Linked DNA regions of Nothobranchius furzeri. The main gene of each other region encodes a partner of the protein of the gene in region 4 in a complex. Links are inferred from orthologs where the notes say so. Each region holds a gene or a part of one and is shown on either strand. Other genes may lie near its edges. The genes, in order: sptlc3, serine palmitoyltransferase 2, sptlc1 and sptssa.

Region 1 (5,474 bases), on a different chromosome or scaffold from region 4:
GACACAGAGCTCTGCGAACAGCCAGCTTCTTTAGCAATCACCTTTTGTGTCTTGCCCTCCTTGTGCAAGGTGTCAATGATTGTCTTTTGGACAGCTGTTAAGTCAGAAGTCTTCCCCATGATTGTGGTGCCTTCAAAACAAGACTGAGGGACCTTTTAAAGGCCTTTGCAGGTGTTTTGAGTAAATCAGCTGATTAGAGTGGCAGCAGGTGTCTTCTATATTCAGCCTTTTCAGAATATTCTAATTTTTTGAGATACCAGATTTGGAGTTTTCATTAGTTGTCACTTATGAATATCAAATTTAAATGTAATGAACATTGGAAATACATTGGTCTGTGTGCATTGCATGAATATAATGTACAAGTTTCACGTTTTGAATGGAATTACTGAAATATTTTCAACCTTTTGATGATATTCTAATTTACTGGCCAGCACCTGTATATGCTTAGCATGTTTACTGAATGAGGTCATCACCATTTGCACTCATACAAGACAGAGTTAGGTTAAGCTAACGCATAACACATAGTTAACCTTTTGCCCAGATTCATAGTCTCCATATCAAAGAGGGTGTGTTCTGAGATTCTTGGGAACATCTCTCAAACTTGTCAGCCCCTGATTGGCTGGCCAGATCAGAATATCGATTCCTTAAAACAAGATGGCTTGGAGTAATTTGTCAGTTGTAGAGCGAGCTTCAGACCGGCCATCTTTAGCACCTCTTTAACCAGAAGGATTTTGACATGTTGTCAAAACCTTAAACCTTTTTCGCACCTGTGAAGCTGAGAACGACAAGATAGTTTCCTGCAGTACAAAGTTGACGCAAACTCCTTCAGAGTTATTTTTAAGACGCTCGGTTTCATCTATCGTTGTGACCCGGAGACATCCCAGGACTGATTTGGTCGCATGGAGGTTTATCTATGAACCAAGCGCAGTGGGGTCGTCGGCTCCTTGACATTTCGGATCCAAACGGGGGTCTCCAGAACGGGTGAGGTAGAACACAGCGAGATAGCGTCTGTATGTGGTTTTGAAAATAACTTCATAGCTTATTTGCAAACCAAATTCTTTTACGTCCAGAACTCAGCTCTCTGAGAAACGGAGATTCTGACTCCATTACATTATATTCACACATAAGTTCCAGACACCATCCTTAGTTCGCATCCACTCACAGTAAATAATAGTTCAAACATTTTGTCAAGTCTTAATTGTTTGTAAAATAGATTCTTAAGTTTTTATAAACCTGCCTGCTTCTTGAATCAAAACGAAGAATGTACGATCCCTTAATGAATAAAATAATCCTAGAATCTTCTGACTAAACGGATAAAGAACAGGAAAGGTGATATTCTATATTTAAACAGAGTATTACAGCTTATTGGTCTCAAGTAGTGTTAATAATATAAATAGTTCTTAAAGCAATTTACTTAACCAAATATACTATTTATCTAACATTACAAATGTTACAGAAAATATTTGTTGAAATTTGTTTCATTCACACCAGAAGATGAAGGAAAATAATTGTTAAAAAATCATGGTTGAAGATTTCGTAATTATTGCATCAGAGGGTTAAATACATGTTTAATGTAAAATTAAATGTGGGGAGAATGTGAATTAAATAAAAGCAACACAGGCGTTCATGACGCTTTGATGTCAGAGCAGATGGTGTCATATTACTACCCATTAGCTTATCAATCTTGCTGGATGAAAAGTTGATTTTTTCCAGAGCCTTTTCTAGATGATGAGCATTTTAATGTTGACACTGAAATTTGACGTAAACAGAAGCCCTAGCTCACCTAGCAAACACATGTATGTGGGACCCACATGGTACTTGAGCTATTGTTCCAAGAGAACATGGGCTTAAAATGGGCATCTAATTTGGGACCCACTTGGGTTAACCAAGTTTAGCCCAAATAGGCTATGTTTTAAGGGTACGTGGGTTGTGAATGGGCAACACAAATGGAACCCATCTTAGTTGATCTAACAACTTAAGTATTACAAATAACTAATAAACATGAATTAATGTGAAATAACTGGAAATGTGCCAGCAGAACCTATTTCATATTTGAAATATTTGAAATAGTGAGAATATTAAATTATACTTGTTAATATACTACATTTCATACAGCCTAAATGATATTAAATATTTATAGTTGTATAGTAATTAATAAATAGGTGCAGTGTTATAACACTCTGTTCAGAGTAAAATACTGAAGATTTTGTTTTGCTGATCTGTTGCGTTCACGTGACGCAGGAAAGATGGGAAACATCTAAACTGGATGAGACATGTCAAGTTAGAGGGTTGAGTTTCATTCTAGAACGAGCAGAAGTTGAACTGGCTCTGCATCGAAACAGAAATCGATTAAGAATGAGGAAAGACCTTCGTACAGAAGCCTGCAGCCGCGTGAGGGGAGGCTGAACCGACACAACAGAAAGAGGAAGTCAACTTTGGGAGTTCGGTTAGGCTCACCGTGTCGTTTGCTTCCTTGAGTCGCAAAGAGACAGTCGCACCTGTGAGCTGTGACGGTGAGCATGGCCAGAACCGCCGAGGGGAACCTAAAACCGCAACCGAACGGACTGAAAACCGAGGAGTTGGTGGGAAATGGCTTTCATAACCCCAGAGAGGTACGCGTGTTGCTCTCTCTCATTTGTCTCTCTCCTAATCCCTAATTCTTGCCTTATGTGATACTTTATCAAGGTGCGGCAGGTAGCCTACTCCTCACCTGGGAAGTGAGTGCGGGGTTTTCTTTGCGGTTTCTCACCTGAATTGACCTTGATGACATAACATATTAAACTTTGTCTTTCCCGGATACACTTAGCATATCCTCCTGCAGAGACCAAACAGGGTGGCTGGTTTCGGTCAGTGGTTACTAACAGTGTTTAATGTCGGGTTCATGAAAAGCTCCACACACACATTCTGTGACCCCACCTTGAAATGCTGCCTCTTCTCTCCCAAAGGACAAATTCTCTGCCTCCAGGCAGCAGCTGAGCTTTAGTTTCTGCTTCCTTCAGTCCACCCTCTTGTTCTGCTTAATAGATGACTTATTCTCAGTCTACAAAGCAATTATATGTTCCTATAAATAATATTAGTATAAAACAATTGCACCCTGATCTCAACAACATCAGAGGGCTGAATAATAGGCCTGTTGTGTACTCTGATGGGACATATCCTCAATAGTTCACTCCCATCTTCACTCTTCTAGTCATAAGTTGAACATGATCTGTGTAGGAAAATGATTTCAGGAGATTCACAGTTTAAATTATTGTTATTATTTATCTTATTACCGTTATTAATACATATATGTAATGCCCTTGTCGCTTACGTTTTGTCAAACATTTGCTAATTTATCGCAGCTCTGCAGTTGTTGCAGCTCACACAAATCACTCTCTTGTTTTCTGAGCTGGTTACCCCCCAGTAGAGTCACATGGAGCTGGCGCCTAACTCCAGCAGTCATCGGGCGAGAGCAGGGACACCCTGGACAAGTCTCCAGTCCACCACAATGTCTGAAGCTGAATCAGTATTTGAACTCTGAATTTATCTGTTAAAGTCAGCGTTTAAGTCAGACATCTAAATAAAGTTAATATAGAGTATTTATCATGCAGATGTTATTAGTGAATGTAAAAGTACATTTAAATTAAATTCTGCAAAAGCACCGGGCTGCCCAAGGAAGTGCCTGACTTTAAATTGGCTTTACTAAGGACACATATTGGCCGGAGCCCCTAGTCGGGTCATACCAACGACTTACAAAATGGGAACCAATGCCTCTCCGCTTGGCAGTCAGCTTTAGGGGTTGTATTTGGGGATTAAACCACAAAATAGTTCCTGAGTGCAGCCACTGCTGCAGCTCACCGCTCCAAATGGGGATGGGTCGAATACGGAGATGTAATTTCACCAGTGTGTGATGACTAATGGGACTTTAACTTTATCCAGCTTGCTTTATTTGTTGCTCTGCTCCAACACCCATGATTCAGTGTTTGAATCACCTGTTCAGCAGCTCTTCAAGCTCTGCAAAAGCTTGTTAATCACCTGCTTATTGAAACAAAGTGTGTTGAAGCAGGGAAAGAACCAAAACAAGCTGGATACCAACCCACCAGGACCAGGATTGGGCACCCCTTGTTTAGACCAAAGATGTGTAAACCTGCTCCTCGAATGTTGCTATCCATCATGTTTTAGTTGTTTCCCTGCTCCAACACGCCCAGTTCCAGTGGCTGGATCACCAAGCTCTGCAGAAGTCTGTTAAGAACCTACTTATTAAAATCAGGTGGGTCGGAACGGTGCTCATGGACCAGGACTGGGCACTCCTATGTCAGAAACAACAATTAAGCTAAACAAGCGGGACAAAAATTCAATATATTAATCAATAGACATGTTGTGCAATAGGAAACAAATGGATCAATAAAAACTTTGATAAAAAGTTTCCATTTTCCATTATAGCCTATCTGGTAGCTTCATACTGGAGTCATTACTTCCACCCAACCAATCAAAAACACAGACCCAAGCACGCTCTGTCACCAAGCCCCCCCCCCCCCCCCCCCCCCCAAACCTAGACAGCAATGGGAATTAAACAAGATGTTGCAGCAAGGAGAGATGGAAGAAATTGCCCGCAAAAAATGTTGGAGTGCCTCACCAGTGTGGTATTATTTCATTCTTATGAGTGTGACAAAAAACAACATTTGCAGAGAATCGATAAAAAACAAGTCTGGTAACGCAGCCTCACCTCACCTCCCCTCACCTTCCTCCTGCTCATCCGGGTCGCAGGGGCAACATCCCAAGTAGGGCCTCCCAGGCAATCCTCTCCCCGGTCACATCCGCCAGCTCCTCAGCTGGGACACCCAGGCGTTCCCAGGCCAACCGAGAGATGTATTTCCTCCAGGTAGTCCTGGGTCGACCAGGAGGCCTCCTGCCGGCAGGACATGCCCAAAACACCTCTCGAGGGAGGTGTCCAGGAAGCATCCTGACCAGATGCCCGAACCACCCCAACTGGCTCCTTTCGATGATGAGGAGTAGCAGCTCCACTCCGAGTCCCTCCCGGATGTCTGAGTTCCTTACCCTATCCCTAAAGCCGAACCCGGCCACCCTGTGAAGGAAACTCATTTTGGCCACTTGAATCTGCGATCTCGTTCTTTCAGTCATCACCCAAAGCTCATGACCATAGGTGAGGATTGGGACGTAGATCGACCGGTAAATTGAGAGCCTGGCTTTCTGGCTCAGGTCTCTCTTCAGCACGACAGATCTGTTCAGCGTCCGCATCACTGCAGACGCTGAACCAGTCTGCCTGTCGATCTCCCGCTCCCTCCTTCCCTCACTCGTGAGAAGGACCCCGAGTTACTTAAACTCCTCCACTTGGGGCAGGACCTCTCTCTCGAGCCGGAGTTGGCAAACCGCCCTTTTCCAGTCGAGAACCATGGTCTCAGATTTGGAGGTGCTGATCCTCATCCCAGTCGCTTCACACACTAGTTTTATCATAAAGTGATGGTGTAAAATAG
Region 2 (5,024 bases), about 31 Mb from region 4:
CAATTGTCCTTTGAGTTGTTCATATAGTTAACTTCTGGTGTTAAAGGCAGGGAATATGTAACTTGGTCACTATGGAGCATTGGCTCTGGTTCAGTGACTGGTTCAGATGCATGGGTATCCCTTCCTAAAGATTCCCCAATTTTTGCCAGTTCCTCCATTAGAAGGTCTTTAAATGATTGATTGCTACGCGCAGCTATGTCCCTGAGCTCTGACAGATAGGCATCAGTGGCAGATGTGCTAGTTTCTAGACTGTACGCGCTGGCTAGGTCTTGAATATGAAAGAAAACATCTGGGTTCCTAGTACAAGGTTTGTCATAGGGTAAACATTGTTTCTTTAATTCCTTAACAGTGGCTTCATGTTGAAACTCCACAATAATCTGATCACAGTTTGGTAACTTAATGCGCCTGTTAACTGGTCCGAATCCTTCCATAAACCCAAAGACTTCGTTATCAAGGTCTGTATCAGTTAACCCACTGATTAAAACAGCATTTGAAACTTTGACCTTTTCTGTTTTCACAACTTCCATTTTAAAACACTCAAAAGTACCAATAATGCCAAAATGGCAAACCACTGTGACCTCCAGGCACTCTTATGATGTCAGTCAATGGTTAGCTAAGGTAACAACTCTACAATTCTCCTGGCTGGCTCGCCAAGTTTTATGTAACCGGATTACAGGATACAATAAGATAATTAAAAGAAAAAATAAACAAATGGGCCAATAATTAGGTTCGGGGAGAATTGGAGGTTGTTTAAGAATGACTGGAGTCACGGGTATAGCATGAAACGGTTTATATACTAAATTTTAATAATAATGGGAAATATAACACATAAAGATAACACACAAAAACAGATGAAAACAATCGACAATAGTAAAATGGTCGGTATGAGATTTGATCATATGAGTCACAAGTCAGCCGGCGTCAAGTCAAATCCCCACGCTTGGGGTGAAAGTCAGAGTCCGGTGGTGCGATTTTTTCCTACCACACCGTTGAGATTGTTCACAGAAGAGAGCAGTCTGCTCTTCAGTTACTTGAGATGTCCTGGTTCGTTCAGTGGTTAAGGCTCGCCATCTCCCTCGTCAGGAAGAAATCCAGTTCTCGTTCCAAGTGAGTGATCATAGGAGTCGGGATCAAACCCAAGGAAAAAAAAAACCCCAGCCAACGCGCTCCAACGGTTCCCTCCTACAGAGGATTGGTTCACTCTGTCGTCTCCACACAAATCGCGTTGGTTCCAAGTTCCTAGCTCTTATTAGAAGGAGTCAAGTCCGCCTCTCCCTCTATCTATGCGGCACCCAAATCAGGGTTCTTCACGGCCTCGACCGTTGTTTTTTTTCTCTCTCTCTCTCTCTCTAACCGCTCAGTCTTTGCTTTCTGTATCTGCGTGCTGCACAGCCGTTTGTCTCTCCTCTCGCTCAGCTGCGTCGCACGGTTTTATTTCGCGGAGGCGGGACTTATTTCTCTCAGCCAATGAAATTTCAGATTCCCACCTGGACCAATAGTATACAGCTTTCCTCTTCTGTTTCTGTTAGTGATGTTCAAGATTCTTGTTTTAACCGATGTTTAATATTAAACTCGTTATTTTAGTTATTCACCCTTCCAATAATTCATTATGAAATTATCTATTAGTTAATTAGATATCTATTAATTAGTATTGTTAATTTCCTTAATTTATATTTTATATTTTATCTAAATTGAGGATGGATCATATTAGTAAGCCAATTAGTTAATACCTCATTAAGGTTCTAGCTTCTGGGTTACACAGCCAAACTGAAGAAGCCTCTGACTGAAGACACTCTTCCGTTGTCGGACATGTTGTGAAGAGAATGCTCAGGGTTGTCCATCATTTTCTTGATTCTCTGGAGAATCATTCTTTGCATTATCTCCTCCAGCAGTTCCACAGTCGTCCCCAGAACAGAAGCAGCCTTTTTTATTAGGCTGTTGAGCCTTTTCAGGTCCCTGCTTCTGATGCTGCTACCCCAACAGACGATGGCTGAAGAGATTACACTCTCAACAACAGACTTGTAGAAGATCTGCAGCATCTTGCTACAGACATTGAAGGACCTAAGCGTCCTCAAGAAGTGCAGTCTGCTGTGTCCCTTCTTGTAAACGGCTTCGCTGTTCTTTCTCCAGTCCAGTCTGTTGTTCAGGTGAACTCCACGGTGTTTGTATTCCTCAACCACCTCCACTTCTTCTCCCATGATGGAAACAGTGTTTGACTCCACCCTGTTTCTTCTGAAGTCTAAAATCATCTCCTTTGTTTTGACGTTCAAGGTCAGATGATTGTTTCCACACCATGCCACAAAGCGCTCCACCAGCTCTCTGTACTCCCCTTCCTGTCCATCTCTGATACACCCGACAACTGCAGAGTCATCTGAGTATTTCTGTAGATGACAGGTCTCTGACTTGTACTGGAAGTCTGAGGTGTACAGGGTGAAAAGGAATGGTGAGAGTACAGTACCCTGTGGTGCTCCAATGTTACTGATCGCCTGGTTTGATGTGCAGTTCTTCAGCCTCACAAACTGTGGTCTGTTTGTCAGGTAGTCTTTAATCCAGGTGATAGTTGAGGCCCCCACCTGTGTCTTCTGGAGTTTCTGGCAAAGAACATCAGGCTGAATTGTGTTAAATGCACTGGAGAAATCGCAGAACATGACCCTCACAGTGCTGCCTGCTTTGTCCAGATGGCAGTGGGTTGGTTGAAGCAGCTGGATGATGGCATCTGATGCAGAAAACATTTTTATAAGCAGTGTATCGATTTTTTTTCTATTGAGAAATTACATGTAAACCTTTATTTTATTTCATTTGTGTGGTGCAATTAAAGCTCAGACAGCTAGGTGGCAGCATTTTATTAACAGAACACAATAATCATGTGTCTTGGAGGCGTCTAGCCGGAGTTTCCTATTTAAATTTAGTCTTAAACATTACATCAGGCTCTTGGTATCATGATATAGCAATGCACCTCCCTACTAGTTAGGAGTTTCAACTGGAGTTAAAAAGTTTGAAAAGGTTAAAGGAACGGTGTCGAGGTTTTTTTAACCTACCAACAACTCAGTCAACTCTTTATTTTAAATGTTTGTAGATCTGAGATACTAAATGATTTTAACAGGGTCAGGGTTTTCCATGTTTTACTGCTGGAAGAACACATCCTTTCAAAATAAGAGTTCAGCGTGTTCTCTGCTGCTTCAGGATGTCCATGTTGGTTTTATTTATTCTCGATTTATCTTCTTTAATGAACCGTTTAAACGTATTATTGGTGTTGGTGTTATTGCTCAGCAACTCACTAAAGCCATCAAGAAAGCTCATCTTTAAGGAGGATTTTCTGTCTTGTCTGGTTCAGGAGCTGATCGACTTCCTGCGCTCCAACTCTCACAGCGCCGTCTACGCCACCTCCATGTCTCCTCCTGTGGTGGAGCAAATCATCACTTCTATGAAGTGCATTATGGGAGAAGATGGAACAACGATAGGTACGGTCTGACATGCCTCATTAACATTGGTTTATGGTTTATGTCACAGGGAGTTCAGCAGAATCCGATTTTACATCAGTTATGTGTTTTAGTCTGATCTGAATAAACCTTTATTCTGAAAACAGTTGCAGAATTATGTCATTACTAATGATAACAGACTCAGAATCTGTTGTAAGTCTCATCCTTCACCACCAGGGGGCAGCATCACCCTCTACAACAAACCTCACTCATCTGTGGTGAAAAGAAGAAAACACTGTCATTAATGTAATTTTTATTTTACATTTAAATTAAGACTTTCATGCAGATTTTATGTTTTCTGCATTTATTTTAATCCCTGATTTAATCTAATCTGTGTATTGAACCTGAAACGGTTTTATCATGTGAGTCTTGGCTGCTGGTTGTTTTGGTTTACTTGTTTCTAAAAGTCTGAGTATAAAATGAACTTTTTCCAGAGGGAAGCTCGGCTCGCTCTGCATTCATTAAAGCCCCGTGTGGAGGTGCGGCTAAATTTACGAGCCCGCTGACGGTTTGTTTGATGTGAACGCTCGGCCTCCTGTGGGAGCCGGAAATTACATTTCAGAGAAAAGGCGTGATCACCCAAAGGTGTCTGGATGCTGTAACTCTGACATCTTCTCACACTTAGAAACACGTTCAGCTGCTTGTCAGACGTCTGCTTTCATCTCCTGAAAGAACCAACAACGTTCTACTGAATAATTCTCCTTTTTAGCCTCTCGGAGAGCTCACCTGTAGAGGAGAACCGACTCGCAGCACCCATAAATCACAGGTCCATCACTGATGAGTCGTTTTTCTGTGAACATTTGTTTATTCAGCGTATCGAAGTCACATAATCCCATATTGTTGTGTTTGATAAAGCAAAAGCGTATTCAGCCCAACCTAATTCTTTTTTTCTGTATTTCGCTTCATCTCAGCTTTCCTTTAGGCAAAATATAAAAATATCACTATAAAGATGTTTGTTTCTGAAGAAGAGACAATATTCCCAAACACACACACTTCCTTTTCTATCTGCGACAGGGGCGCTTCTAGGCCAAATTTTCCAGGGGGCCACAGTGGGGCCAGTATTTTTTCATGGGGGCGCAAGAAAAAAAGGGAAAAATTAGGGCAATATCAAAATTCTTTTTTGTCGTCGCCATATGACTAATTTTGTGCTTGTGCACAATTTTGCCAAAGGAAATTCGTTTATGTTGGGAAAATAAACTGTATTGCTTGCCTTCGTCTCTTAGCGTCTTTTCCGTTAGTCGTCCTCAAGAATTTCTTTGGGTCCCATTTAAACTATTTTTAATCTTAAATTCAAAATTCCACCGGTTAAACAGTTCTGTCCACAGAGTGTGCTGCGCTCTAAAGGCTCCGTTTGAAACGCTGCAGCGCATTAGTTCCCGTCTCCGAGGCAGCGCGGGGGGAAAAAATCTGATCTCTTCAGCACAAGGGCCATAAAGGGGCCAGGGCCGGTTCTGTAGGGGCCCAGGCCCCTGTGGGCCCCTGTTTAAAACCGCCAATGATCAACCACGGGGTTGCAGTGTCTGCCCAGAGTTATGGACGGTATGT
Region 3 (5,637 bases), on a different chromosome or scaffold from region 4:
TTAGACCTGTGACGTGTTCGCCTGTAACAGTTTAGACCTGTGCCATGTTGACCTGTAACAGGTTTAGACCTGTGACGTGTTGTCCTGCAATAGGTTTAGACCTGTGACGTGTTCGCCTGTCACGGGTTTATGCCTGTGACTTGTTGACCTGTAACAGGTTTAGACCTGTGACGTGTTCGCCTGTAACAGTTTAGACCTGTGACATGTTGACCTGTAACAGGTTTAGACCTGTGACGTGTTGTCCTGTAATAGGTTTAGACCTGTGACGTGTTGACCTGTCACGGGTTTAGACCTGTGACGTGTTGACCTGTAACAGGTTTAGACTTGTGACGTGTTGAACTAACGGGTTTAGACCTGTGACGTGTTCGCCTGTCACGGGTTTAGACCTGTGATGTGTTGACCTGGAACAGGTTTAGACTTGTGACATGTTGACCTGGAACAGGTTTAGACTTGTGACATGTTCGCCTGTCACGGGTTTAGACCTGTGATGTGTTGACCTGGAACAGGTTTAGACTTGTGACATGTTGACCTGTAACAGGTTTAGACCTGTGACGTGTTGTCCTGTAACAGGTTTAGACCTGTGACGTGTTCGCCTGTCACGGGTTTAGACCTGTGACATGTTGACCTGTAACAGGTTTAGACCTGTGACGTGTTGTCCTGTAACAGGTTTAGACTTGTGACATGTTGACCTGTAACAGGTTTAGACCTGTGACATGTTGACCTGTAACAGGTTTAGACCTGTGACGTGTTCGCCTGTCACGGGTTTAGACCTGTGACATGTTGACCTGTAACAGGTTTAGACCTGTGACGTGTTGTCCTGTAACAGGTTTAGACCTGTGACGTGTTCGCCTGTCACGGGTTTAGACCTGTGATGTGTTGACCTGTCACAGGTTTAGACCTGTGACGTGTTGACCTGTCACGGGTTTAGACCTGTGACGTGTTGACCTGTAACAGGTTTAGACTTGTGACGTGTTGAACTAACGGGTTTAGACTTGTGACGTGTTGACCTGGAACAGGTTTAGACCTGTGACGCGTTGACCTGGAACAGGTTTAGACCTGTGACGTGTTGACCTGGAACAGGTTTAGACTTGTGACGTGTTGACCTGGAACAGGTTTAGACCTGTGACGCGTTGACCTGGAACAGGTTTAGACCTGTGACGCGTTGACCTGTAACAGGTTTAGACTTGTGACGTGTTGACCTGGAACAGGTTTAGACTTGTGACGTGTTGTCCTGTAACAGGTTTAGACCTGTGACGTGTTGACCTGGAACAGGTTTAGACCTGTGACGCGTTGACCTGTAACAGGTTTAGACCTGTGACGTGTTGACCTGGAACAGGTTTAGACCTGTGACGCGTTGACCTGTAACAGGTTTAGACTTGTGACGTGTTGACCTGGAACAGGTTTAGACCTGTGACATGTTCGCCTGTCACGGGTTTAGACCTGTGACGTGTTGACCTGTCACAGGTTCAGACCTGTGACGTGTTGACCTGTCACGGGTTTAGACCTGTGACGTGTTGACCTGTAACAGGTTTAGACTTGTGACGTGTTGACCTGTAACAGGTTTAGACTTGTGACGTGTTGACCTGGAACAGGTTTAGACCTGTGACGCGTTGACCTGGAACAGGTTTAGACCTGTGACGTGTTGACCTGGAACAGGTTTAGACTTGTGACGTGTTGACCTGGAACAGGTTTAGACCTGTGACGCCTTGACCTGGAACAGGTTTAGACCTGTGACGCGTTGACCTGTAACAGGTTTAGACTTGTGACGTGTTGACCTGGAACAGGTTTAGACTTGTGACGTGTTGACTGTGTTCAACAGAATCCCCAGTCTGAAGGTAGTGGGAGTGTCGTTTGCTCCAGCTCTTCATCTACAGTTGGAGAGAGGTTCTGGCTCCAGAGTCACTGACCTGCAACGGCTCCGCTCTGTTGTTGACTATGTAAGTCCGGTCTGTTTCAGATGGATCTGTATGCCTGAGTCACATGCTGCTGCTGATGCGACTAGTAACAAATATAATATTCATGAATGGATTCATGTTTATAATGACTCCACCATGACATTAGACCTGTACTGTTCTAAATCTGAAGGCTGTTGGACACAGAACTACAGTTCTAGATTCTGTTTTTACATGAGTAAACAGATCCAGTATCTGGTAGGCGGTTAAGTGACTTATTGTATTTTTTTAAACAACATTTTTTACCATTTACCTCACTCACTACTGGGGCAGACTGAGACCGGACTCTCTTCTCATCAGGTTTTATGTTTTCTCTTTCAGTGTTTAGACAGAAATGTTGCTTTGACAGTCGCCAGGTATCTAGAAAAAGAGGAGCGCTTCCTCCCCCCTCCCAGGTAAGAGGCTGTCCCTATCAGGTGTTTTATTTCATCAGTATTATGCTGTTTTAGTTCGTGGATGTCTAACTTGGCATTGCTCAGTAGTGCTCTTCCCTCATGTCTCTAAAAAACATTGGTGAGGCATGCAGGTCACTGATGAGACTCTGAACTAGAAGTAACTCGAGTCACATTTAAGTTGCAAAAACTAAGACTACAGGCTTGAGTGAGACTTGAGGTTCGGGACACAGACGGGTAAATCAGGGGAGCAGCTGTGTGACACAGGCCTTATGATTAAACCAGGATCAACATATCTGTTAGCTGGTTTGTTTCTTTATGCGTCCACATCTAAACGTCTCAGAGTAAAAAGTGTTGGCAGGTGTGTTTATGAGAATGGATCTATTCAGAGATCTCTAATGACTGCTAGAGATACTAGCTGAAACATGTCAGGTGAAAAACTATATTTTACTAAAACTGTTTAAGAAAAGAACAAAAAACGGATAGCATTTGACAACTCACTGCTGGGTTCTATTCGGATTGCAAAACTGTTGCTGCTGTGTGTTTTTTATTAGTTGACCTCATTTGTGTGCATCTTTTGCTTCAGTCTGGTTTTATAAAAGTGTTTATTTTTAACAGGAGACCTATCTAAGCATTTTTCCATTATTGTGAAATGTTTTCTTTAACAAATGTTCAATGATCAATAAGTTAAATAACAGTCCAAATGCAGTTTTGTTTTTAAAATAGACTAGATGGCAGAGACCTAAATACTCAGTTTAATCATGGGAGACTTTAGGCGTGACTCAGACTGTCCCTTACACCCTCACCCAGTGTTATAGGGAAAGGAACAGTAATGGATGTAGACTTCCTGTTTAAAAGTAAAATTAGCCTTTTTTATTTTTTATTTCATTCAAAATAAAACATATAAACAATAAGAAATACATAACAAAAAATCAAATTTGAACGAAAAGGAGCAGAATGAAGAAAAAAATCTTATAATTTCTGCCTCCTTTTCCAGAAGAAATAATCAATTTATATACAATTTCCAGTTGTCAGACACACATACGGATTCATTTTAAACTTTTTCCTGTTCTAAATTCCAGTGCGATCATGATCATTGATTTAATTTACATTTTCATAATCAGTTAGTACACTCAGTTTGGTACATATTTGAAAATAAGTGACAGAGTTTTTTAAATTTCCCTTTTAAGGTTATTCCATAATTTAACACCATTTACAGACATATTCCACCCTTAATTTTAGTTCTAAATCTAGGTTTTGGAAACACATCAGTTTCTTTCAGCGTGTAATTACTAGTTCTCTTTTCAAATATCCCCTGAATGTTTGTTGGCAGAGTACCTAAATTGGCTTTATACATGGTTTGTAAGATTTTTCCGTCTTTTAAATCATGAAATTTCAGTAATTTATATTTAATAAACAATGGGTTCGATAGATCTCTACAGCCACTATAATTGATGATTCTCAGAGCTCTTTTCTGTAAAATAAATAAGGGTTGTGTGTAGTTTTTGAATGTTGCTCCCCAGATTTCTACACAATAAGTCAGGTATGGAACAATCAGTGAATTGTACCCATTACTTTAATTATTAATAGTCTTGACACTTTCATTCACAATATGTTGCATACTAAGTAATTTTCATTAGATTTAAGTTGAAAATGTCATTCACCAGCAATGTGATGATGTCTAAATGATTAGAAACCCTGAGAAAGAGGAGGTCAAAAGGTGAAGCAGTGACCTGGATGGTGTCAGGGTGAATCTAAAATACATTCCCCCTCCTGTTTGTCTCAGTATCCGAGTGGTGGTGACCATCAAACAGACGGATGAAGACATCCAGAAGGCTGTGTCTTGTATCAGAGAGGCAGCATCCATCTTCCTTTAATGATGTGTGATGTTTGCCCCCGATGAAGAGGAGCAGCTGTTTACAGTGAAGGTTAATGTGAGGAAACACAGATGTTCTCCTCCACCACTAAAGATGTTTTTATATCAGCACTCCAGAATAGTTTTATATTTTACTTATTTAAATGTAAAACTAATGAACTCGTCCTGTTTGTGTTTGTTTTCTTTCTTGTCGAGGAACAATAGAGACAGAATGTTTCAGAGGGCCCTCCTCAGACCAAAGCGAGTTCTGACCAAAGATCTGTCTTTGTGCTTGTTAAATGTCTGCAGAGTGCACGGGCTGTGTACTCTGGCATTTTGTTGTTGTTTTTGTTTTTTGTTGTGTCATTGAGATTTAGCACAAACCACAAATCTAACTCTGAACCCACTCATTCTGATTTTCTGTTGATTCCAATGATCTTCTGTTGGAGGTCAGTACATTTCTGACTTTCAATAAAAGTTTCTGATTCTGAATAGTTTGTCTTTTGAGTTTTCATTTCAGTAAGAACAATAAAAATAAATTAAATTAGTGTTTGAACAAAGTGCTGTGGAAATTGTAAAATGGAAAGACTCTAAAAAAACAAAACAAATTCTCCAAATCGTTGTCTATTTTTTTTTTTTAGAATTTTATAGTTTTACAATTAATAGATTTGATCATTTATCATTTCCTGTCAGCGTAATAGTTCAATGTGTTTGTGTAGAAACGATGACAATTATTATTTGATTGGACGTTTGCTGCAGTCCAGCCAGACTTAACCTGTTTTATTGTCCTCATATTTGATGCAGTAGATTTCAGTTTAAACAGGTGTTCCTTGTTTTCAGTAAGTTATTTAACTTCTGCCTCAACCTTCCATCTAAATATTTTTTACATTAATTTGTTCTTCTGGTATGAACTCATTAAATAAAGTTCATATAAATACATGAAATCATCTAATAATAGAGAACTTTGGCCCAAATTCACAGTCTTTTCCAGGAGCCTATTAGTGTTTTTACAACCAAACCTCTTGGAAAGAGAGCTGTACTGCTGCAATCCAAGCAGTGTGCCTTTGTTCACCAGGAAGAATTTAAATTAAATAAAAACTCAGCTGTGAGCTGATTCAAGTTGTTACTGCTTGCAACATTTTTAGCCTCCGGGCTTTTGTTCAAATTAAATGACAAAAAGTAAATTTTATTGTCCTAATTTTTACACCTTTTTAGAAAAGACTGGGTAAATAACTGGTGCATCATTTTTAGTCTATTCCTAAAATGACTTAAAACTCAACAGCAGTCAAATTAAAATGTAAGAATTGTGGGGCTCAGCTCAGCCCCCAGTGCCCCTGGAATGACTTCCGATCAAAGTTTAGATTTTAGCTCCAGTTACTTTGAAACAAACATGTCGAGGAATTGAGCCATTAATCTCTCAAAACAAAAGGAAACTAGC
Region 4 (5,768 bases):
TTAAAGAAACGGTGAGAAAGGATGGCAGTGAACGGCTTTACCGATCAGGAAACGGCTGGCAGTGAATGAGTTAATTTCTGGAAATATCCATCAGAATGTTGTAAATGAATTAAAAGATGCCCGGCTGTTGAAAAATATTGGCAGTTTCATAACAGATAACCATAAAATCTGTTCTAAAATACATGGGAGCGGGCGACGCCATGATGGATGCCATGTTTCCTTCTACAGGAGCCCGTGAGGACAAAAAGCATTTGCTGATTTGTAACAAATAACTACAAAACTTTCAACATTAATAAATGCTCGTTTACACATTTACCTCTGCATTCTGTCATTGGAGGTGACCTGTGGTTTCCACCTCCTTTGACAGTCATTGCGATTGATTAAAGGGATCCAGATGTTCTTGTCATTTTGCTGGAGGATGCACTCCCAGAGATTTTTGACCTTAATGGCCATCCGTTAGTAAGGTCTTACTTGCAGTGATTTAGGTACCTACTGCCCCAGTCACTTTACACACGGTTAAAATGTTAAAAAGAAGCCGTGTCTTTGTTTCCCTGTGGTGCCCACCGCTGTGCTATAACATGTTTATTTCTGAACACAGGCTACTGGGTTGCTTTCTTATACGAGTAGAAAATGAAATGAATCGCCGCTGCGTTTGGACGCACTCTGAGGAGGCAGCATTTGCTCGTTGCCAAAGGCTGCACGATCCATTTATGTATTTATCACGTTCATTTTTAAAATAATGAATAATCGTTTCTTAAATTTCCAATTATTTTAATTAATATTTAGTCCAAACAAGCTGAACAGAGTGACCCAGTAACATAAACAATGCATTTGACCTGCTGTGGCCCGAACGTACATTCCTTCTGCTCCACGTGAACCTGACCTGGTCTGATCAGATGCCCCTAAGGAGCTTGCTGTAGAGGTTTTGAGGTTGTGGACTTTTGCCTCAGACAGACTCTGTTTAAATGTTGTTCTGGATGAATCTGCGCTCCGCTGATGCACTCAAAGCAGGTGCTGAATAACGATGAGCGCTACTTAAGCCAAAGTTTTAAATCAGGAAACATTTCTCCAAATGAAATAACCAGGTCTTCTAGACTATCTGAAAGTCGGAAGGGTTTCCACTTTCCACTCGACACAGAGCTGCTGTGCACAACGTCGAGTGCGTCACAGACAGACGCTCTCCGAGCTCCTCCTCAGCGAGCCGCTTGCACGCCCACTGTCAGCAGCGAGGCGAAGGAGGTGAGAAAACGCTCTGATGCATGGATGGAGACCTTTTCTTGATTGTTACCGCTGCGATGTTCTCTGTGTGTAACATGTAAAATATCTGTCAATAACAAACTAATGGGCAAACAAATCGCCTCCTGTAACAGCATTCATTCGTCCCATCGCCCAACCCTAGCTCAGACGATGTCGTACATTCAGATCCAAGAAAATAACGATAATGTGTGTTGTTCGTTTACATTTAGTAGGTCTTCCTGCTTCTCGACTCCTGAATTATGAAAGTGATCTGAGTCAGATTGAAATAAAAAAGGTTTTATTTGTTGTGTTGTCATTAAAAAGCTATTTAATTCTGACTGGATTTATGAGCCACAAAGAGGTCTGATGCAGTCTTAAAAACAATCATCGAGTAGTTGATGTGAACCCACTGTTCATGCTACTTTACGTGGTTATTTCTGCAGTAGGGCTGTCGCAATAATCGCAAGAACAATATATCGCGATATTAAGAAACCCACCGCGCTGCATGACGTGCCACCGCAATTACCGCACTTGATTAAATCTCGCGACAGCGCATGCTGAGAGGTAAAGTCCGCGCTGATCGAGGACATAGTAGGGCACTTTTTTTAATTTCGGTTAGATGTTGCAGCCAAATTTGCATTTCAAAGTTAAACCTCCTGAATATTGTTTTTAAGTTCAGTCAGAGAATGCCGTTACTGCCCTTTGATCTGCATTCAATAAAGTGTTAAAAATGGCCATGTATTTTTTTCTAACATTTTTTTAAATGTGTAAGCACAATGTTTCAAAGGAAATATTGCCATGAGTTTAGTAATTAACAAACAAATTTGCTAAGTACATAAATAAAAACGGGGTGCAATAATATCGCAATATTGAGCTGCCCTGACTCACCGCAGGGGGAATTCCTCGATCGCGACAGCCCTATTCTGCAGAGATATTCAGATATTCCAGCAGGAATTGGAGGCTGCTGCAGACAATCACTGGATTCAGTTAAAGCGTGTGTGACTGAATGGTGATTAAATAAATGTTTACAGGAAACATTTTTCTAATCCAAGTTGTTGTAAGAGGAGAAAACGCACCATTACATGTCTCCCATCAGCAGCCACCAAGTTAGCTTTACAAGAAACTGGTGTAAGTGATAAGCTTCTGGGTGTCTGAAGAGTCCAATACCTCATAGTGACTAAACAGCCTTTCCAGCACTATAATTTATTGTGGGGAAGCATTACTACAAGAAAGAAAGCACTAATCAAACACAAATTGCTTTAACTTTAAGCTAAGTTTATAATCAGGCAGTTGCACAGGAAGCCAATCAAACCACATTAAACAATGCATAAATCTGACTTTGTTGAAGTTTCATAAATCAGGGAAAGGTTTCACAAATCCCACACTGTGTTTTGTTTGATCTGCTACTATAGTAGAATAATCTAGAACAGAACAGGTTTGAATAGTGTAGGTGCTTTACTTCTTGAGCTAGAGCGGTTCCAGTGTCAGGCAGGTGCTGAAAAATGCATAAATCTGGTTTTGCTGAAGTTTCACAAATCAGGGAAAGGTTTCACAAATCCCAAACAAGGCTGTATGCGATCTGCTATTATTGTAGAATAATCTAGAACAGGTCTGAACAGTGTGGGTGTTGTAGTTTTTAAGCAAGAGCAGATTAAAGATGGTCAGAGTAGAAAAAAATTGGGTGTAATGGCCCTTTAGCCATTTCCCGAATCAGAAGCGAACTTCAGCCTTGTCCGGAAATGGGTTCATAGGTTAACCTGATCGGTTATTTGAAGCTATTAAAATCTCGACCTCTCTTGGTTTTAACCGTAAAATCCAGATAAACTTTAATCGTTCAGATACATGGTTTATCACGAAACCCTTCACATTTGATAAATGTCGTATTCCGTTCACAAAGACACTTCAGTTTACTCAAAACAAAGTGTTGTAGCATTGGAATTCGACGCTATGTTAGCTTCTGCTAGTGCGTTAGCTTCTACGCACTTCCCGGTTGGGTGTCCGACACACAAAAGGATACTAAACACGGTCCTCTCCCAGGGCTCCAGCATGTAGAGCGCAGTCACCAGAAGATACTGGTAATAAAACCAGGACAACTGCTTCCAACAGTCTCCGAGGGCCATGGTCCCAACTTCCCTTACCTTTCTGCTACTGTTTCCTGGTAGTGTGACGTCGGTAAAATCAGTCAATCACAACTCCGTCTTCCGATACGCGCCTCTGACGCAACACGGGAGCCACAACTTCCGGTTTTCAAAATAAGAGACAGTGCTACAAGGTGCGTTTACACAGTACGTTGTCGCTCATTTAGCTGCCTCATTACCACCTAGGACTGATTAGTGTTTGTTGTTAGCCTCAGGGACTACCTGGTGGCTTCATTAGCACTTGTAAGTCGCTTTGGACAAAAGTGTCCCCTTAATACATCAACATAAACATGAGTGTCCCTGGGCAAGATGCAGATGCCATGCGTCCGATTCTGACTGCATGTTGCAGCTGAAATTGAGATCATCAGATCAGCTAATGGTTTTCCTGTCTCTTGTGGTTATTTCTGACTTTTATATCATATCTCAAATCAGACTTCCCAGACTTCTCTTGGCATAAAAAATAAATGCCATCCATACAACAGATGCTCACTGGATTGTTGATCAATTTGAATCATTCTCTGTAAACCCCAGAGATGGCTGTGGGACCAGATTGTCTGGTAACATCTTCACCCTATCTAGAAGCAGCCATTGGCTAGTTAGCGTTCTGAACAGGTGCACCTGTGGTCTGTGAGCTTAGGGGTTTTGTTGCACATGAGAAACAGAAGTGGATATTAGCATTGTAATATTCAGACTAGCTGACTTCTCTACCTGGTGCATCCACATTTAAAGGTGCAGTCAGTAACAGAAAAAAAAAACCGGCTGGCTGAATATATGTTCACATTGCATGATTTGCCCAATACCCAGTAGGTCAGGGTGCAGACTTTACTGAGCCTTCATACAAGAACCTTAACAAAACAAACAACAACTGGACTTTTCAGCAACACATCCAGAAAAACATCTGGTCTGACACCGCTCCTGTTGAGCTCCCAGTTTACCCAACAGATCCACCACAAGATGCAAAAGTCACACCTGCTATGGAAAACAGCCTCTATGCTCTAGCAGTAGCTCAACAGGTGGAGCGGGTTGTCCAGTAATCAGAAGGTTGCAGGTTCGATCCCAGCTCCAGACAGAGAATTCTGCTGTTGTGTCCTTGGGCAAGACACTTAACCCACCTTGCCTGCTGGTGGTGGTCGGAGGGACCGGTGGGGCCAGTGCTTGGCTGCCTCGCCTGTCAGTGTGCCCCAGGGCAGCTGTGGCTACATCGTAGCTCACCACCATCAGTGTGTGAATGTGTGTGTGAATGGATGAATGATACACTGTAGTGTAAAGCGCTCTGGAGTCCTTACTCTGAGAGGCGCTATACAAGTGCGGGTCATTTATCATTTATTTACATGCGACTCCATCTTTGGTCATGAACCACGTCCCAGGTCTTTGGTTCAACTCCTTCGTTGTGACTGACCAGAGCTACACCTTCATCGCTGAAGACCCAGCCCTCACCAACTGGTCCATCTCTCCTCCATCCTACCATCACTCAGGAATGAGATCAACACACTCAAACTTCTCCACTTGAGTCAGAGACTCACCACCCTTCCAATTCAAGAGACTAGCAGCATCCGTGGTAATGACGTGGTGTTAAGGATAAAAGAAAACCAGAACAAAACCTGTGGTTTTCCCCTCCTTTGTCTATCCAAGTATTTTTATTTTAAATTAGGAATGACATGGGATGGTTTAAATGACTTGTTTGAGATCATTCAGATCAAAAGATTTAGTCCTCTTGGCCACAGCAGGAGTGTCCACCTCAACCAGGAAAACTAAAATAATACATGATGCAAGGTGAGAAGAGAACCCTCTGATGAGTGGTAGTGCAGCATCCCTCACCACTAGCTTCCTCTGAGCAGCACAAACTTCAGCGTTGAGAGGGAAACTGATGGCACAAATAAAAAAGTCTACAATACAGCACCCTCAGTCGACCTCAACAGTGGCTGGCAAGGATGTTAAAAAAATGGTAGACGTCATCTTTATCAATCACAGCCACTTCTGTGGAGCACTCAGAACATGTGACTGGGTGGTAAACCTCATCAGGGTCCGTGGAGCTGGTTGGTGCATCTGCAGGGGGTTCGACTTTCTGTCCTCTTTTCCGCTTTCTTTGCTTCCTCAGCTGCTTGGTTTTGTAGCGCAGCACCTCGTCTCGTTTCACCGTGCAGTTCATCACAAACATGGCTCGATACTGCGTCCGGTACTTCTCATGCCTGAGTGAACGCAACAAGAAGCTTCAGACCACACAAGGTGTGGATGTCACAAACGAGTTTTCAGTGAACAGACCATCAAGTTTTTCTAGTACATGAAAAAACGATGAGTGTGTGTTCTATCAACCAAATATCTAAACACTGGGCACATTTTAACGAAACTCAATGGTCGTCAGTGGATTTACAACTGATTAATGTATGAAATCAA

The links.
Region 1: sptssa (region 4) and sptlc3 share a complex: the UniProt entries of both Homo sapiens proteins name them as parts of the serine palmitoyltransferase (SPT) complex. The link is inferred for Nothobranchius furzeri from reciprocal best matches to the Homo sapiens genes SPTSSA and SPTLC3.
Region 2: the proteins of sptssa (region 4) and serine palmitoyltransferase 2 are in contact, whole or in part, in a cryo-EM structure (PDB 7K0K), measured with the Homo sapiens proteins. The link is inferred for Nothobranchius furzeri from reciprocal best matches to the Homo sapiens genes SPTSSA and SPTLC2. Residues at the interface, in NP_612145.2 of Homo sapiens: Trp15, Tyr18, Gln19, Leu21, Leu22, Val23, Thr24, Ala25, Tyr27, Met28, Leu29, Glu30, Pro31, Trp32, Glu33, Val36, Phe37; in NP_004854.1 of Homo sapiens: Leu73, Gly77, Val80, Leu81, Phe84, Leu87, Arg88, Leu91, Leu126, Arg129, Ile130, Tyr156, Met475, Pro476, Ala477, Lys478, Gly480, Ala481, Arg484, Glu485, Asp533, Leu534, Leu535, Gln536.
Region 3: sptssa (region 4) and sptlc1 share a complex: the UniProt entries of both Homo sapiens proteins name them as parts of the serine palmitoyltransferase (SPT) complex. The link is inferred for Nothobranchius furzeri from reciprocal best matches to the Homo sapiens genes SPTSSA and SPTLC1.

The regions. Positions count from the first base shown.
Region 1 is NC_091752.1:1,176,865-1,182,338, reverse strand, and holds the start of sptlc3 (serine palmitoyltransferase 3), read left to right. Parts: upstream 1-1,938; 5' UTR 1,939-2,519; coding exon 2,520-2,612; intron 2,613-5,474. UniProt on the Homo sapiens protein: Component of the serine palmitoyltransferase multisubunit enzyme (SPT) that catalyzes the initial and rate-limiting step in sphingolipid biosynthesis by condensing L-serine and activated acyl-CoA (most commonly palmitoyl-CoA) to form long-chain bases.
Region 2 is NC_091758.1:39,063,520-39,068,543, reverse strand, and holds part of serine palmitoyltransferase 2, read left to right. Parts: intron 1-3,334; coding exon 3,335-3,461; intron 3,462-5,024. UniProt on the Homo sapiens protein: Component of the serine palmitoyltransferase multisubunit enzyme (SPT) that catalyzes the initial and rate-limiting step in sphingolipid biosynthesis by condensing L-serine and activated acyl-CoA (most commonly palmitoyl-CoA) to form long-chain bases.
Region 3 is NC_091746.1:34,122,354-34,127,990, reverse strand, and holds the end of sptlc1 (serine palmitoyltransferase 1), read left to right. Parts: intron 1-1,819; coding exon 1,820-1,937; intron 1,938-2,273; coding exon 2,274-2,347; intron 2,348-4,130; coding exon 4,131-4,221; 3' UTR 4,222-4,691; downstream 4,692-5,637. UniProt on the Homo sapiens protein: Component of the serine palmitoyltransferase multisubunit enzyme (SPT) that catalyzes the initial and rate-limiting step in sphingolipid biosynthesis by condensing L-serine and activated acyl-CoA (most commonly palmitoyl-CoA) to form long-chain bases.
Region 4 is NC_091758.1:7,745,458-7,751,225, forward strand, and holds the start of sptssa (serine palmitoyltransferase small subunit A), read right to left. Parts: upstream 3,585-5,768; 5' UTR 3,357-3,584; coding exon 3,254-3,356; intron 1-3,253. Other genes in the region: eapp (E2F-associated phosphoprotein), read right to left, coding at 5,287-5,563. UniProt on the Homo sapiens protein: Component of the serine palmitoyltransferase multisubunit enzyme (SPT) that catalyzes the initial and rate-limiting step in sphingolipid biosynthesis by condensing L-serine and activated acyl-CoA (most commonly palmitoyl-CoA) to form long-chain bases.